Sus scrofa: one gene and its partners. The protein of the gene in region 2 interacts with the protein of the main gene of each other region in a pairwise test. Links are inferred from orthologs where the notes say so. Each region holds a gene or a part of one and is shown on either strand. Other genes may lie near its edges. The genes, in order: CAGE1, MPPED2 and RXRG.

Region 1 (3,650 bases), on a different chromosome or scaffold from region 2:
GCTGGTGTGTTCAACGCTGGCGACAACCCGGACTCGCCACTGGCAAGGGAACGGGGCTGAGCGCGTCCTGTGGGATCTGAGGCTCCCTCCAGGTAGATAGTGTCCAAACGGTGTTAAGCTGGGGACACTCGGCGGAGGGTGCAGAGAACAGCCTGTGGGGAGACCTGGCACACGTCTGTGTCAGAGGCGGTGTGATTGTGAAGGGAACACACGGGCGGGAAAAGGGGGGGGGTCTTCCTACGCGGTGTTCTGCCGGCGCCAGCGGGCTTCAATGAGGGCTGTTCCAACCCTCTGGTCCAGACTGAAGTGGAACGTGTCTGTGGCCAGTTGTGCTATGAAACCCTGAAAATTCTTTTTTCTTCTTCCTTTTTTTTTAGGGCCACACCCACCGCATATGGAGGTTCCCAGGCTAGGGGATGAATCGGAGCTGTAGCCGCCGGCCTACGCCACAACCACAGCAACGCTGGATCCTTAACCCACCAAGCGAAGCCAGGGATCGAACCTGCACCCTCATGGTTCCTAGTCGGATTCGTTTCTGCTGCGCCACGAGGGGAACTCCAAAATTCTCTTTTTGTAACAACTTCTTTGACTTTGGCCCCCCTAAGAATCTCCAACTGTGCCCCAAATTGTTGAATTTTCACCACATAGTGTTCACTAGAATTTCTTAAGACGGTATTCTACTTGTTCTTTTGTAAGCTTGGGCTTACGAAATACGGGAAGAGCCTTATCCGGTTTCACAATGAGTTTTTCACGTACTTGTCCTGAGGGTTATGTTCATATTGGCAAATGTTACAATCTTTTGATGGCAGACATAATGTTAAAAAAATTATGTTTGACAGGGATATTAGCACAGGTCTATAATCTTCTTCAAATGCTGGGACAGTGAACTGAGGTCTCACAACAGCTGGTAAGGAGTCGTCGTGAACCTAAATCTTATGATCCCATGTCGAGTGCTCTTTGTACTGTGCTTGCTGTCTCCCACGAGCTGTAGTTCAGGGAAGACTGGGCTAAGAACCCTGAGAAAGTCGTAGATAAAGCGGAGGAGACAGGTACGACCCTCTGAGAAGGAGGAGGGGGACATTTCCATTAGGCCTTGAAAAATGCACGTTTTAAATACAAGGAACTGGTGGTGGAAGCGGAGGAGAGATTTTCGTTTGTTAGGGCAGGAAAAGGCATCTGAGGACAAGAAAACAGTCTGGGCAAAGGCACACACATGAAATTTGGGGCCAGAGCACATAAGGCAGTGATTTCTGGACTACAATGTAAGAAACGGAGGCGTTCCCCAGTGGCCTGGCAGTTGAAGGATCCGGCGTGGTCACTGCTGTGGAACAGGTTTGATCTCTGGGCCAGGGATTCCTGCATGCTGCGGACACAGCCAAAAACAGAACAAAACAAGAAAGTAAGAACTGGAACTCTTGTCCCTAAACCATGATTCATTAAGTTATTTCATTATATAATATCACACAGCCTTTGAAAATGAGAGTGCCACGTTGAGATCAGCAGTACGGAAACATTTTTATCAGAAAACCTGCGAGTCGAAACGGCCTATGTGACTAAGACAGGATGTGGAAGAGGGTTTAGAAGAGGGTTGCAGGAGGATTTTGAAAGGGGAGGGTAAGAGTGCAATGCCAAGTTGTCAATTAAACGTGTGAGAGTGAAAATGACGGAGCAGGTCCTCAAGAGGACGCGATGGGTCAGAATCAAGGAAGCAAGGGACGAAGGGGCAGCGAAGAAAGTGGGTACACACAGAAACGGTGGGGTGCAGCAGACACCGCGCCTCCTGGTGATGCCCGCGGTGAGGGCCCACGCCTTGCTCCGGGAGGGCAGGGCTGCGGCCGTTTCAAACCCTCGCCTCTCTGCCAGCCTCCTTCTGCCAGAGCCAAGCCTTCCGCCACGAGTTCCTTACCGCGCACAGCTGCCTGGGACCTGCCTGCGCTGCCCTCTGCCAGGCTCAGAAGGAGGGGTGACCAGCCTGTGCTGCGCTGGGGCACCCAGGCCCTCGCTCCGCCTCTGAGACCTGGGTTCATCAATGACCTCTGACCCCTGGATCCTTCTCAGCATCTAGTTAATTGCTTTCTAAACAGACCCCCAGGTGTTTCACAGCAGCCTTGCCCCCATCCTCCCCTTCCCCCAAACCAGCTGTCCCTCCTGAGGTCCCCCCCTCCGCGAAGGCGACCGCCCCCCCCCAGACCCCGGCAGCCCCCGGCTGCTCCGCTTCACTCCCGTCGCTGACAAGCACCAGATCCTTTTCACTTTGTCTTTGACGTCACTTTGCATCCTCACCTCCTCTCTACCTCTTCCGTCACTATTTTAGCTTCTGGCCTTGGTTTTCTCGCGTGGAGCACTGTCTCAGTATCTTGCCTGGGTACCTTTGATTCTACCATCACGCAGCGTCAGCCTACCCTTTATGTCACCAGTAGGCGACCCTTAAAAGGGATAACTGCGGAGTTCCTGTCGTGGCTCCAGGAACGAACCTGACTAGGATTCATGAGGATGTCTGTTCCATCCCTGGCCTCGCTCAGTGGGTTAAGGATCCGGCGTTGCCATGAGCTGTGGGGTAGGTCACAGACGTGGCTTGGACGTGGTGTTGCTGTGGCTGTGGTGTAGGCTGGCAGCTGTAGCTCCGATTGGACCCCTAGCCTGGGAACCTCCATGTGCCGTGGGTGTGGCCCTAAAAAAAAAAAAGACAAAAAAATAAAGGCATAACTGAGCACATCACTCCTCTTTCAGAGCTTCTCATTGGGATACACTTCACATTTCTCAGCGTGGTGCATGATGCTATTTTTTTTTTTTTCTTTTTCTCTTTCCCCTTCCCACAGCATACGGAAGTTCCAGACCGGGGACTGATGTGAGCCAGAGCAGGAGCAATGCCGGATCCTTAACCCACTGCCCCCATCAGGAATCGAACTGGCCCGGCCACAGAGACAAGCCAGATCCTCAAGCCACCGCGTCACAGCGGGGACGCCACATCGCGCCGTTCTCCGTCATCTCCCTCTCCCGCCACCTGAGGAACGCAGGCGTGAGGTTCTACCTGTGCTTCAGAGAGCGTCATGGCCCCTGAGGCCTTGGTGCCCTGAGAAGAGCCTCCCTCCTCTACCCACCTGGGGAACATGGAGTCAGCGTTAAAGATCTGGTTCCGGTGTCCTCACTCCTGCGAAACCCGCCCTGAGGTTGCTCACGCAGTCCGGGGCGGCTGCGTCTGTGCTCCCAGGGCTCCTGGACACTGAGACCCATGCACCCTCCTAGAAGAGAGTCAAGTACCACCGCCCCGTCAGTTACATGGTCCTGCGCCTTCTCTGCCTCACTTCTCATTGTATTCTCGGCATTTAACACAGAGACTGTCACATGGTTTACTGAAAGTCACTAAATGTTTATCGAAAGGAGCACTGGCTTAGATGCTGCATCTGTGAGCCACGCGCCAAAGGAGGTACACGCACTGTGAGAGGGCCTGCAGGTGCAAGATGACAAAGTCTAACCACACACCCCGCACAGCAGCACTCAGGCACCCAGCCCTGCCCGCACACAACCTGTGTTAACTCTTCCACCCCCACAGGTTCTCCTTGTTCGCGGGCAGATTCCAGATGCTGCAAAGTCATCTTTAACCTGGTTTCCCCTCTCAGACCTTAATTTCCCTCCAGGAGCCCATGAAG
Region 2 (3,650 bases):
TAAAGTCTTGTTATCTCTCTCCATCAAGAGGCTGGTATTTGCCCTCTCTCTGCCCTCTTCAGCTGTCCTAAGCGAATAAAAGCGAGACAAGTTTATTTGAATATGATCTCTTCCTTTTTAAGCAAGTTTATTATTTTGGGACTTTAGTGGAATTCCCCAATTGTCTGGCTAGTTTAAAGCTAATTAATGATTGAAAAAAAAAAAAAGCAAACTCATAGGCACGAGGCAGGAATTCAAACCCGATAACTGGTCCCCAGAAATGCTGTTGGGACATGATCTCCCATCCTCCCCCACCCGCAGCCTGTACCATGCCTTAGACAAGTGCCCACCTTTTCAGGATGATATCCGCTCTCTGGGAGCTGCCCGCCTAGCTTTCCATCCACTCAGCTCGTGCCTGCACTTGGAGTAAGCTGAATTTTCTCTGGTCTCAATAGGATGATTTTCAATATGCTGTTTATTGCTTGCCTAACCAGGAAGCCACTGGACTGTGGGCTTTGAAAAGCAAAATCTGGCGCCTGCCCACATACACACACCCACTGCACACAAACATTTCTAACCATGAGAGACTGGTATGGCCAGAAGACATAAGGCCTGCTGAAAGAAGGCCTGGCTTAAAAAAGTCAGGACAGACAAAACCTAGACTCCTGAAGCTTCCCATGAGGTTTTCTGGTTCTGTGAACTTGACTCAGCTTACCTAGAAAGGCAGAAAATGGCAACTGGACCAGTTCCCAAGTAGGGGAGATTTAATTAGGCTGTTTAACCTCAGCCCGGGTTAATAGCGCTGATTTCTGAGAAGTCTGAAATGGTTTTCTGAGATTAGCAATGTCTACCTGCAAAGCGTAGCTTCCGTCACTTCCGTTTTTTGTCTTTTTCCTTGCACATCCAAAGTTATTTTTTGGAGAAAGTCTTGTCTTCCTGGGTCTTTGCACACATGCCGTAGGAAACTCAGTATTTATAGGGAGGACGAGGCCATGGATGATATTTAGTCTAAAATCCATTTCTTCTAACACTCTCAAGGAGAAAATCTGACCTTTTTTTCCCCCCAGGGGTGCTTTCGAGCAGTGGTTATCAAACATTCTTCATGTTTCTATGAAGATTCCAGAATCTGTCCAGGGTTAGCGCTGTGTTTGCCAAAAGGTGGGCCAGACCTGGTTTCCTAACTCTCCATGCTGCTTAAAAGAGAGCAGCTCCACACAAAATATTTATCAGCAGCTTTATAAGTGGGTGTTTCTCCTAATGCTTGACCTTAGGAAAGGGTTGCACTGGTAAAAAGAGTTTGGGAACCACTGCTAGTACTCCCATGTAGCTAAAGTCTCTACTGCGGAATGCATCACGGACAATGACACAGCATGCTGTGAAGCCTTTCTCTCAGCCTTACCTTCATGGATTCCACCAAACACATGGAGTTTGGGCCGGACTCGCCGCTGGACTGTGTTTAAAAGCTCCACGCAGCCCACTCTCTGAAGTTCCTTTGGAACCCAGTCTCGAAAACCTAAGGGCAAAATGTAATCAATACTCTTAATTTTCTGCCTTCAGGTAAGGTTTCATTTAGACTTTCAGGAAGCTATAACTCACAGAAGGTTTATTACATTATCTGTAATCCTACCCTCTCCATTAAAGCTCACAATGGCTTTTAAGGAATTTTCACTTTGTCTTCTTTAAGTTCTTGAATTTTTTTTTTTTGTTTCCATCTTTTTTCTTCCTGTTAATTAACTTTTTTTTTTTTTTCCTGTAAGGTATTTGATTTATTCTGCCAAGGGCTTCAAATCTTCTTCATTGGCCCAATGACATTTATTCCCGGCAGTCCCATACTCTCTCTTTTTCTCTTAATTCAGTTATTTTCTCTCTTAAAAAAACCTGTATCTCTTATAGCAGTCTACTTCCAAGATGGCTCAAAGAAGAAGGGCTAGGAGGGGCTGCCTATAAACTGGCCACATGATACCCTGCTCTCTATAGACACATCAACTCTTAACCCTTGGTGGTTCCTGATGACCAAAGCTTAGGAATACCAAGTTCCTCCTTGAGTGCCCTCTCTGGCAATAGGGCAACCATGGTGACCTGGCAGTGGCATGCAGCAAACTGGGGCTAATTGACTACCTTTACATAAAAGCCACTTAGTTCTATGCTTGATGCGGAAAAATCCATAAAAACGGACATCAATTATAGCAGAAGTCAGCCATCTGAGTGATTATGGCCCGGAATGGAATCCAATCACCTCAGCAGGATAGGGTATAAAGAAGGCAGGTTGGACAAAAGGCTAAATCATCATCAGTGGGGATCCATTCCACAGCTCCATTAGGTGATTTCTACTATTCAGAAATGGTCAGGCAGAAAAGGAACAGGCTAGCTTATTCCACTTTGGCGGAACTGTAGAAACGAAGATGCAGCATCTCTGTAAAGACATGCTGGCTGGGGTGTGGGGAATGGACAGAGAGTTTGGGAAAAACATTGGATAAAAGTAGGGGCCCTATAAAAATCCAACCAGGGCTTTCGGGAGTTCCCTGATGGCTAGGTGGGTTAAGAATCTGGCCTTGTCACTGCTTTGGCTCAGGTTCAGTCTCTGGCCTGGGATCTTTCACATACCACAGGCGCAGTCAAAAAAAAAAAAAAAAAAAAAAAAATCCAACCAGGGGTTTCAAAACTTTGTTAATTAGAGGAAAAAAATTTGTAACCCACAGTGATTGTCTTAGTCCCTCATGGATATGTTTCTCATGAAGAGGGAAAATATCTCATTTCATATGCAATCACCTGAGAAAATGTCTTATTTGTACCGTAATAGTTAACATCCCATGTGCCAGGGCTCCCTTGCCAGCAGGAGAGGATTTGAGGGCAATTCTTACACCCAGCCAGCCCCCACCTCCTAGTCCAGAATGTCCACAAGATTCCCTGTTGGTTAAGGTTCAATGTTACCTTATGAAAACGTTGCCTGACCTTTCATTTTGGAACTTCTCGCTATGGATCTCTCTTTGCTATACGCACAGTCCCTCTGTGGATTGATTACTCCACCTTTACTTCAAAGAGAGGGAAGGCAACCTCCCTATTAAGTTTCTGGGATGTCTGAATTCTCTGGACGCTAGAAGTCAGACTTACTGTTACTGCCACTCACTTTCTGTACCAAAATTAATGGCCTGATGGCATCTATGAATCAACTAATCGTTCTGTTTAAAATTATATTCCAAATAATACCTTAAGTCTGTAAACATCTCTATGCTGAGGCTGCCCAAGTCCCTCACGGTAAACAGCCCATGGAGGATCGTGTGCCTGCACCAACAAGGAAGCTCAGGTAAAGAGTCAAGTTGGCCGGGATGAGGTCTCTCTAGGTTCTCTCTGTGTAACTCATGCAGCTCATGCTGATCGGAATAATCAGCCAGCTATTTGATACTTTAGTTAGCCTCTAAGGACTGCGGAATAGGGAAATTAATTCATTTTGACTTTTTTTGTTAGTTGGTTTTGCTTTTTTAGGGCCACACCTGCAGCATATGGAGATTCCCAGGTTAGGGGTTGAATTGGAGCTTCAGCTGCAGGCCTACACCACAGCCACAGCAACACAGCCACAGCAACGCAGGATCTGAGACGTATCTGTGACCTACACCACAGCTCATGGCAATGCTGGATCCTTAACCCACTGAGCAAGGCCAGGGATCGAACCC
Region 3 (3,650 bases), on a different chromosome or scaffold from region 2:
TCTGTAGAAGCAGTAGCTCAAAACGTCTGCCCTTTGGAAGATTTTCCCCAGCAACGACACCTCATTTATGACAATAAGATTTATGGCACAAAAAGAAGAAGTGACTAGCAAAGGATCACTCAATTAATGGCAAAATTGGAATTAGACTCTAATTCCCCAAGGCCAAGGTTATTTTCTTTGAAGCTTGAAGGTGATTTTCCTTGAGTGTTACAAATCTGTAGAAGAAATCAATTGAAGACCACAAAAGGAATTTAACTTAGTTTGCTTTTCCCCATCTCTTCAAATCAAGACAAATAGAAGCCCATTAACCTACCTTTAAAAAAACTAATATGAGAAGCATTCAACTTTAACTGGCAAATTCAACCGATAATAAAAACACATGTGAGAGTTTCTGTATGCTGTCAGTGAATGAAGACTAATGGACTGGACGGAAAGAAAGAATGAGGGAGGATGAGAAATAAGGAGAGCGAGGGAGAGGTCAAAAGAGGGGCTGGAGAGAGGACCAGAGCAGAGAAGAGGAGAAAAAGAGACCAAGGGGAGGGAAAATGCTAACTTTTTTCGAACTTTTAAATAATGACTTATGTAAACTTCACAAACCAATCTCAGTATGATAATCACCACTTTACATACAGGGAAAAAGGCTTCATAGGCTGAGTACTATGTCTGATGCGGGCCCACTTGGAGTAAGTTTTCTTTGACTCCAAGGTACATGTTTGTTCTATTTTCTCCTCTCTGTTCCCTTTCTCTTCTGATTCTTCTTTTTCTTATTCCCCTGCTCTAATCTTTCTCCCCTTTCTTTCTCCACTCCTTCCTTCCTCCCCTCCCTCCCTCCCAACCCCTAAATATCATTCTCATCAGGAGACTTCCTTGACTAGAGGCTGTGGCACGTCAGCCGTGTTTGTGCTGTCAGACCCTTCCCTGACCTACTTTGAGAGATCAATAATATCACTCGCGTGACAAACTAGATGTCCAGCATCCGGTCCCAGTTCATTCTGCAGCCTCTGTGGCTCCTTATGTCCTCAGAGAGTGGGAGGTGCCTGGGAGAGCAGACGATGGGGTGGAAGGGAGAGCAGAGGAGAGGTCAAAGTTGCTGATGGAGTGGCTGTCACTGAGGTCCAGGTTAGCCACCCACTTAGAGTGTAATTTTCTTGCTTCTTGGGATTAGAAAAATGGGTACTTGTATTGCATTCTGCTTCTTGACACTGGGAATAAGAAGATGGAAACTGGAACTTTCAGGAGGATGGAAACTAACCCAAGAGACTGCTCTCCCAGTGGAGAGGACAGAACTGGGGGAATGGGGTCTGCCTGACATCCTAATGCACAGACCCAGAGGGTTCTTTGATGAAAACCCTAAGTTTTGAGAGGCTGAGGTAATTCCAGCCTACACCTTTGCCTGTATACCCTTCCCCACCCCCCAAGTCAGCTGCTGATTCTAAAATGTCATCCAGGTGACATTCCTCCACCCTTCTGCTTACTAAATACCCACACGGCTCCCTGAAGATCTTCCCTGACAAGTCAGATCAGGTGATGTTGTGTTCAGGCCGGTGCACTAGGGGCAGACCTAATGGGACGTGAATGCCAAGCTTGATGCATAGGATCTGACAGAGGGAGTTTTTAGAGTAATGTGCTTGCTGCTTAACTATTGCATGCTCACAGTTGAATAGAGGTAGCAGGTGGAGGAAGGATATGGGAGGAGGTAGTCAGTCGTTCATGAAAAGAAAGGGCAGAATCGGAGGTTATTAAAGCTTAAAATGCACACTTCTTCCAGTGGTCACCATAATGAACCGTGAAGAATATGGATAAAAACCCCATAGTCTGGCGCAGGCATAAGCAAATAGTCTGCTTTCTTGGTTTCATCTGTTACCATTACAACAGTCTGATTCATATATCATGATGATGTCCATTTTACAGATGGGGAAATAGAGGCTGAGGGAGGTAACTAACTTTCTCACTGTGGTCCTGGGCATATGGTAACGTCTGTACCTCCTTGCCCCTGCCAGCTGTGCAAGAAGAAAGGCAGAGAAGCCGGGAGAGGGCTGAGAGTGAGGCCGAATGTGCCAGTAGTGGCCATGAAGATATGCCTGTGGAGAGGATTCTGGAAGCTGAACTTGCTGTTGAACCAAAGACGGAATCCTATGGTGACATGAACATGGAGAATTCGGTACGCATGTGGTCTTAGATCTCCATCTGACTTCCATTTCCTGGATGGGGTTGGAAACGAGGAAGGGGTATGTTTGAATCCCAGAATCTGTCCCTCAGAGTTACTTTGTTCCTTTTTCAGACGAATGACCCTGTCACCAACATATGCCACGCTGCTGATAAGCAGCTCTTTACTCTCGTTGAATGGGCCAAGCGTATTCCCCACTTCTCTGACCTCACCTTGGAGGACCAGGTCATTCTGCTCCGGGCAGGTAAGGAATATCAGGGATCATTTCTTTTTGGGACAAGGGCTTGGGCTGCCACTTTGAACTCACCCCGGGGATCTGAAAACAAGTAACCTAATCGCGCTGTAACACATCCGAGCTGTTTACCTTGTTGAGACAGGAGAACCCTATGCAAGATTGTTCTTTTTTATATTATTCGTAGGCTCTTAAATGTGGATAGCCCTCCCCTAAGCCTTTTGTTCCCCATGAAACCTTGTTTGTTAAATGGAGGAGTAAGACTCTTTTTTCCATGCAGATTTTTCCCAGGCCTTATCATTTGCATTTAATTTTCAAAGATAGCGCAGCCATTTTTATTGAAGACAATTTGAGGCCAAGCCTCATCATTCTTATGAAATCGGAAAATAGTGATATTCCCATTTCACAGGCGAAGTAAGGGAAACCTGGGATTTTTGCTCAGGCTTGTCCTAGACAGGTGCCAGGGTCCCTTCCTATTTTAAGATTCTATGTGCTGTCATCTCTCTTGCCTCCCGTTTCTGGAACACTCTGCAGTTGACATATGCCAAATCTGCTCTTTGTCACTGAGCCAGCAGGGAAATTTCACGAAGATTGGCCGAGCCCCGGGAGCCAGGCCACTCATTTCGCTCCTATTAGATAATGAGCGAGCCCTGAGTGTCGATGGAAAGCTGCATACCGGCCAGGGTGCTACTAGACGATGCCAAAGAAACAAAACTAAGCTGTCAGATCCTGGGGGCAGAGACTGCAGGGTGTACTTGCTTTATCCACCATGACCGCTAACATAGTGACTATTACCTGTCAGGTGTTCAATCCATATTTGCTGACAGGTTGGGGAGAAAAGGAATCCTGTCCTCAAGCTCCCATTCTGGGCTGCGCTGGGGAGAATGGGGATGCATACAGCCACAAGTCGGGGGACCCAGTCTTATCCTCTGTCTCTGCACTAATTAGTGATGTTGTCTGGCGCAATGTCCTTACCTCCCTAGATGGTTTTTCTTTTTTGTTTTTTAGGGCTGAATCCACAGCATATGGAGGTTCCCAGGCTAGGGGTAGAATTGGATCTACAGCTGCTGGCCTACACTACAGCCACGGCAATGCAGGATCCAAGCCACGTCTGCGACCTACACCACCGCTCATGGTAACACCAGATCCTTAAGCCACTGAGGGAGGCCAGGGATTGGAACCCTCATCCTCATCGATGCTAGTCGGGTTCGTTAACCACTGAGCCACAAAGGGAACTCCCTCCCTACATTT

The links.
Region 1: the proteins of MPPED2 (region 2) and CAGE1 interact in binary tests that used the Homo sapiens proteins (3 or more experiments, as listed by UniProt). The two-hybrid records come from large-scale screens. The link is inferred for Sus scrofa from reciprocal best matches to the Homo sapiens genes MPPED2 and CAGE1.
Region 3: the proteins of MPPED2 (region 2) and RXRG interact in binary tests that used the Homo sapiens proteins (3 or more experiments, as listed by UniProt). The two-hybrid records come from large-scale screens. The link is inferred for Sus scrofa from reciprocal best matches to the Homo sapiens genes MPPED2 and RXRG.

The regions. Positions count from the first base shown.
Region 1 is NC_010449.5:4,691,617-4,695,266, forward strand, and holds the end of CAGE1 (cancer-associated gene 1 protein), read right to left. Parts: intron 3,384-3,650; exon of another isoform or gene 3,243-3,383; coding exon 3,123-3,242; 3' UTR 3,102-3,122; exon of another isoform or gene 2,820-3,101; intron 1,364-2,819; 3' UTR 482-1,363; downstream 1-481.
Region 2 is NC_010444.4:30,214,730-30,218,379, reverse strand, and holds part of MPPED2 (metallophosphoesterase MPPED2), read right to left. Parts: intron 1,493-3,650; coding exon 1,379-1,492; intron 1-1,378. UniProt on the Homo sapiens protein: Displays low metallophosphoesterase activity (in vitro). May play a role in the development of the nervous system.
Region 3 is NC_010446.5:85,343,299-85,346,948, forward strand, and holds part of RXRG (retinoic acid receptor RXR-gamma), read left to right. Parts: intron 1-2,000; coding exon 2,001-2,161; intron 2,162-2,281; coding exon 2,282-2,411; intron 2,412-3,650. UniProt on the Homo sapiens protein: Receptor for retinoic acid. Retinoic acid receptors bind as heterodimers to their target response elements in response to their ligands, all-trans or 9-cis retinoic acid, and regulate gene expression in various biological processes.